Saccharomyces cerevisiae S288C: one gene and its partner. The protein of the gene in region 1 purifies or fractionates together with the protein of each later gene. This does not show direct contact. Each region holds a gene or a part of one and is shown on either strand. Other genes may lie near its edges. The genes, in order: CPR3 and MOD5.

Region 1 (3,328 bases):
AGACCCTTTGGAGAGCTTTTGTGTAATGGAGCGTAACGAAAATATCATACCATACAGAAGTTTTGCATCTTCTTCATTCTGTTTGGAGTTTATTGTACCACTTGCGCTATTGGACGCCAATGTCCATTCTCTATCAAATATACAGTTACAATGCCTATCAAAGATCCAAAATGAATATATCCCCATGCTCCACTGATTTATGATTTATATCAAAAGCAGATTATCTTACGATAGTTCTGTATTTTTTTTTTGTATTTTTTCTGTAATGTATGTTGGAACTCAATTGTCGAAAATATAAGATCCGGAAATTCTTCAACACTAGTCAATAGTAAAGGACAACATTTCGACTGAGGCAAACCAGAATAAAAGTTGGTTGATTTTTTATGAGCCAGCGAGTCTATATAAAATAAAACACTATAAACAGATATAATTCGTAGACATAGAGATAACGCATACCTTATATGCTAGAAATATGAGAGACCTTAGCTTCATATAAGCCTTCATAACTCACCAGCTTCTTCGATAACGATTTCAGCTCTTGGTTTACCAGAAGCAGTACCGTATGATTCGATTGCTTTGACAATGTCCATACCTTTGGTTACCTCACCAAAGACAACGTGTTTTCCATCCAACCATGGACAAGGCACAGTGGTAATGAAGAATTGAGAACCGTTAGTGTTTGGTCCAGCATTTGCCATAGATAACAAACCTGCCTTGTCATGCTTTTTGACAAAATTTTCGTCAGCGAACTTGGAACCGTAAATGGATTTGCCCCCAAAACCGTTAGTCAAATCAGTGTCACCACCTTGGATCATGAAGTCTGGGATGATTCTGTGGAAAGGGACACCTTTATAGCCCCAGCCCTTTTCGCCGGTACATAAGGCTCTGAAATTTTCAGCAGTTTTAGGAACCACATTATCATATAATTCAAATTCTATTCTGCCGATTTTGGTTCCATTGACCGCAGGATCAAAGAACACTTTTTTACCTAGTCTAGAAGCAGAATTGGAGAATAAGCGGGACTGTTGAATGATGGAACGTTTAAACATGGTAAGTAGACCTTTGTAGTTGCTTGCTTTTTTTTTTGTTTCTTTATGGAATTAAATAGGAAAAAAATATTGAGTTTATTAATAATCGCGGTGCGAAAGGACTAAAATAATTCTTATTGGTTATTTTGATAATAACTAAGTACAAAAGTTCAAGCTAAAAAAGCTAACTCAGCTGCCTTTTCAGGTCCCACAAGATGTTTCAGTTCATCTTCACCCTTCAAGAAGGTATGGTCCTCAAAGTCAAAACCTGGTACCACTACTTCACTAATCAAGAAACCGTTGTCAAATTCTTCGTTTGGCAGAAGGAAACTTGCCTTAAACACACCTCCGGGGACAACCCATTGCGAGACTTCTCCATTCTTATAGTCAAAACCAACTTTAAATGACTTCACTTGACCATCAGGATATACTAGAACGTATTGACCCTTGCCTCTTTGTAAGATATGTATGATCCTGTTAATATTCTTATGAAATTTCCCAATTGGGCTGTCGGGGGTTAGTAGATAATAGATCAACGTAGATTGATTTCTTGTTACCATTTCAGTATTACCTGAGCCTCCATTTACTGGTTTTTCTACTTCCATGGTGTAGGGAGACCTATCTGTTTCCTTAAAATACCCACCTTCTCTATGCTTGATTAATTGCCAATCATTGATCAATTGTTGCAAACTACTTGGTGGCTCAGGCATTGGGACTTTAACGAAACTGGCCGGCTCTATAGCTGCATTTGCAGCTTCTTGTACATTGGCTGACATGCTCTCTATGGCGAATTCTGATTGAATATACAAGTGTTCAAATTGAAAGAAGTTTTCTTATGGAGACGGAGTTGAACATTTTCTGTTTGAATTAATATACATACATAAAAACTATACTTAGAGAAAAGAATAGAAAAGGCAAAGAAATATACATGGATTTTATCAGGTTTTAAGCTTTCACGTCCTTCTTTTTATCAGCAGATTCTAATGGCACGTCAGCTTTACGTTTCTTGTTCACGCTTTCATCTATGAGGCCTTGCATAACTCTTTTATCACCTGTGATACCGTTAACAGGCCTAAAATATGGTTGACATCTCCAGTATGGAACAGTTCTATATGAACCACCCCATGATTGCTTTTCGCCGATAGTAATTTCATCCTTAATAGCGATATCTGGCTGTTCAAATATTTCTTGCACTACTTTTTCGACAGGCTTCACTACTTGTTCCTCCCATTCTTCCCACGTGGCTTTTGCATTCATAGTAGCAAGTGTTGACCTAATATCAGTATGATGCGGCAAGAAAGGCCTTAAAATCTTAAAAAAATGTGATTTCATTGCTGTCTTGGAGGCTTTAGATTCCTGGCATTCTTTGACAATCTGGAAATACTCTCTGATAATCTTATCTACGCGTGGAAATATCTTCTCCTTGTTCTTAGTTTGGCCTACATTGAAAACACCAGGATTGTATAAGTTCCCCTCAGCACTCATCACTGCGTCAGCACCGATATGTTCCATACAACGTGAAATATCTTCAGGATATAAGATATTCCCGTTAGCAAAAAACACGGTTTCTTTAGGTAAATTATCTCTTAGGTATTTGATTGTTTCCCAGTTAGCTAAACCAGTTTTTTGTCCTTTTTGCTCTCTTACTCTCCCATGGACGGTTAAAAATTGAGCTCCAGCATCCAGCACCATCTTGGCGTAATTCAAACTCTTTTCACAGTCGTCAAATATACGTATTTTTGCTGTAACTGGAACTTTCAAATTTTTGTGCAAGGTGTTGATTAAATTGTGTATAAGGTCCCATTCTTCCATCAAAAATGACCCATAGTGACCTTTCTTAGCTATGCCTTGAGGACAGCCCAAATTCAAATCTACCGCATCGCATTTATCTTCCACCAGTTTAGCTGCCGCCAATAGATACTCTGGGTCATTAGCGCAGAACTGTACAACCAACGGCCTATCTACGCTAGAGCCGTCTAAGGAAGACCAATTATCTTCTCTATATTTCTTCGAGGTAGCAAATAATTTTGCATGTAACATGGGAGTGTACGCCAAGGTTGCACCGTATCTTCTCGATAGAATACGCCATGCTAATTCGGATTGGTCTACCATTGGTGCAACGATCCTAGTAGGACGGCCGATCTTGTCAAAAAGTTGTCGACCTGTTAGTTTTTGCATCAGAGCGTTATTAGCGCTACTCAGGGCAGGTTCAGTCATATGCAGTTGATATTGTTTATTGAGCTTATTGCGAGCCTGTAAAAACTTGGATAGTATAGACGATAGCACTTTGGGAGCTAAAA
Region 2 (3,650 bases), on another chromosome or scaffold:
CAGTCGACTTTGAACCCATTTTCATAGGCCATTTAAAATACTTTGACGAAGATTTAAGATACGTTAATAGTACAAAGGAAGAAAATATCAAACTTATTGAGGAAGTAAACCTAAGTAAGAAGAATAACCCCGGCAGAAGCGGGATTGAACCAAAGAAAATGGTAAGAATAGATCCCAGAGAGCTATATATTGAAGATCTGAGATATTCCTTCAAACTGCTTGATGAGGTGAAAGAAAATTTAAGTGCCGGCACAGCATTTTACGAAAATTTAATTACTTCTACCAGCAATCTGTACAATGAGGTACAGGAATATGATACAGCAAGAAGAGCAGAAAAAGCTAGGCTTGATAAGAGTTTGACATTTGAAGACCAATGATACCTGTCCTCATTCATCTATAAAGTATATTTTGAGCTTGTCATCCTCCCTTTCCATTATCAAAACCCAGCTTCACTTATGTAGATATATACACTCAGGATAAACTCCTTTTTCCTAATATTTTCATTCCACAGTCTCCTTCTTGTTTATTTTCCATTTTTCAAAATCAGCTTGACGAGTGTTTCTTTTCAAGTTGGATTTATGTCTTCTGCTACCCAAATGAATTTTCCAATATTTTTCGCCAATAGCTACAACGTTCTTACCATCTGCGTTACGACAGACGTTGCAAGTATAATGTGTCCAATCGTCCAATTTCTTCATCGTAGTTTCGCCTTTAGACAACAGCTCCTCTAGGGCTTTAGGTGCCCTTTCTTGCTTGATGGGTCGATTGCTAATAAAGTCATTGGAAATAGCTATCGCTCTTTGAGATGCATTCGTGTCCCATTGAGAAAGGTCAGTGGCATCCAGTAAGTATATATCGCCTTTGATGTCAGGTATCAGCATTTTCTTGATCCATTTTACCTGCCTTTTTGCGTATTGACGTGTTCTCGTTTTCATTCTTTCTATACAATCCTCCAATTTTACTGTGTTGTCATCAGTTTTCCCGGTTAGCCACGGTAAGAATTCTTTGAAGCCAATAACTTGCCAAACACCATTCTCGCATTGCTCCGGCGTAAATTTATTTTGACTGTAATATTCATATAATTGCTTGATTTCTTGCAAGGCGCCTCTTTCTAGCATGTCGTCTACACGATCGTCAAGCCTTTGGAAAAGTGGCTCCGGCTTACTGTATAGCCATAAAAATAGGGTATCAAACTTCAAAGTTATTTTTTGTTCGTTAAATGTCTCGCTTGGTTTTTTGCCCGTCTTATAGTAGATTTCCAACATTCGTTGTACCCTCCTGTAGTCATTAGGATGGTATTTGGTAGCTATATCAGGATCACACTTCACAAGTGTGTTATAAATCACATCAGGGTCAGTCGATTCCAAAATATCGAGCTGCTTCCTTGTGAGCTTACGTTCGGATGATTTCGTATCGACCCGCTTATTGAAAAGAGTCTGCAAATAATAATGAGTACCCCCAACAACGATGGGTATCTTACCCCTCCGGTGAATATCTTCAATAGCGTTCATGCATTCAGTTTCAAAACGATGGGAATAGTATTCTTCTGACCAATCTACGTGATTCATTACATGGTGAGGAATGCCCTCTCTTTCTTGAAGCGGATGTTTATTTGTTATAATAGGAATATCTTTATATACCTGCATAGAATCCGAATTGATAACTTCGCCATTAAATTTTTGTGCCAATTGTATGGACAACTGAGACTTTCCTACTCCTGTTGTACCAGCAATCACTATAACTTTTTTAGACATATTTAAGCAACCTTTAAGCGGTCCCTTTAGCATGAAGATTTTTGGTTCTATTTACAAAAGATATGTACGTATAGTAGCTTATCTAATAAACTATACAGCCCTCACTGAGCTTTTCTTCTTTTTTGCCATTTTAGAATTTTTTTCTGTTTTAATTTTCTTTCCGATGAGCGAAAGATGAACGTGTGCTTTCGCCTGATTCAGTAATCAAGATCTTAGATCGACGTTGCCATCGAGGAGCAGCAACATAAGGAACTTTTACCTGATTTTAGCTTATACGAGCAAAATTCGCTCTTTATCTTTCGAAGGCATGACCACAATAGCGCAAGTAGATATGTAAATAAATCTTCCTAAACCGGTCTCGGAATGCAAAGAGCTTCGTATTTCAAAATTACCCGAATCCTATACATGTCAGGAATCAGGTTATACTCCCTAGCTCTTTTCCTGTTTGTCCATCTTTTTCCTATCATAGATGGTTATGGAGGCGGCTGTTTCTGTAAGAACTACGGAGTCGCGGCCCGGAATGGGAGAAATGCGAAGAAGCAGGCCGCAAGTGGAAGAAATTATTGGGGTAAAAGATCAACTAATGAACTCTGGATATAAAAAGTACAGTTAGCGTTTCTTCCCAACTTTCTTATGCTGCTATCAGCAAATGCATTTGCATAGGCTACAAGCCACAAGCCACAAGCCAATAAGGCATATGAATAATAAGAGAAAAAGTGCCTAATTGCTGTTTATATCAACCGTATGGCGTGCTTTAGCTGCAATAAACTTGTTTTCGCCGATTACCACTAATGGCCGACTTCCACGGATCCCAAAAATAGTGCCACGTCGGTACGGTCGGGCATAGTGGTTATTATTTCCGGGTTGTGACCCGCTTCGGATAATTGATCTATCCCCGAGGTAATAGGCCCGTGCGGTTCCGTCTTCATGAAGCTGCAGGGGCTCCGCTTAAAAGCCCCTGACGGCTCACCTTAAATCCGTGTTACGACACTATGCCAAATGAAGGAAACACTGAAATGATTGCATACCCGCACTCGTGCTTACATGCTAATTGTCCTTGTCAGAGCAAACGGTACCGGAGGCTTGAATGTGTTTATGTGTATATATATATTCGCCTGTATGGAAAGTTATAGGTTGTCAATTTGTTGTACCTGACACATCGATTTTCTAGTCATCACTTTCCTGAAAATTACAGAATAAAGATACCATCTTATACACACACATACACACACAAAGAAGCATAGACATCGTATACATATATTTTAAGTTTTACTAATGCCTTCTTCTTTGACAAAAACCGAATCTAACTCAGATCCTCGAACAAACATACAGCAGGTACCAAAAGCCTTGGACAAAAATGTAACTAATAGCGGCAACTTGGATTCGACTTCTTCTTCGACAGGGTCAATAACAGAGGACGAAAAAAGATCAGAACCGAATGCAGATTCCAATAACATGACAGGGGGCGAGCCAATTGACCCAAGAGATCTCGATTGGGACGGGCCCGATGACCCAGACAATCCGCATAATTGGTCCTCTTTGAAGAAATGGTATACTACTATGACTTCAGCTTTTCTTTGTTTGGTCGTCACAATGGGTAGTTCCCTATATGTTTCTTCCGTACCAGAATTGGTAGAAAGATATCACGTTAGTCAGACTTTGGCGCTTGCTGGTTTAACTTTCTATCTTCTGGGTTTATCGACTGTCATCGGCGCTCCATTAAGTGAAGTGTTTGGTCGTAAGCCTGTCTATTTATTTTCCCTACCTGTGTCAATGCTTTTCACCATGGGTGTTGGGTTATCCAATGGCCACATGAGAATAATTCTACCCCTAAGGTTTTTATCAGGTGTCTTTGCATCCCCCGCCTTATCCGTTGGATCAGGTACCATCCTGGAT

What was found.
Region 2: the proteins of CPR3 (region 1) and MOD5 purify together in Saccharomyces cerevisiae (affinity purification with mass spectrometry, with the first as the bait; one large-scale study listed by BioGRID). This does not show direct contact.

Annotation. Positions count from the first base shown.
Region 1 is NC_001145.3:108,723-112,050, reverse strand, and holds CPR3 (peptidylprolyl isomerase CPR3), read right to left. Parts: upstream 1,050-3,328; coding exon 501-1,049; downstream 1-500. Other genes in the region: TRAPP subunit BET5, read right to left, coding at 1-186; CFF1 (Cff1p), read right to left, coding at 1,199-1,804; DUS1 (tRNA dihydrouridine synthase), read right to left, coding at 1,974-3,245. UniProt on the Saccharomyces cerevisiae protein: PPIases accelerate the folding of proteins. It catalyzes the cis-trans isomerization of proline imidic peptide bonds in oligopeptides. This isozyme is required for growth on lactate at high temperature.
Region 2 is NC_001147.6:835,811-839,460, reverse strand, and holds MOD5 (tRNA dimethylallyltransferase), read right to left. Parts: upstream 1,788-3,650; coding exon 501-1,787; downstream 1-500. Other genes in the region: RIM20 (Rim20p), read left to right, coding at 1-377; TPO4 (Tpo4p), read left to right, coding at 3,030-3,650. UniProt on the Saccharomyces cerevisiae protein: Catalyzes the transfer of a dimethylallyl group onto the adenine at position 37 in the anticodon loop on a specific subset of tRNAs both in the cytosol and the mitochondrion, leading to the formation of N6-(dimethylallyl)adenosine (i(6)A).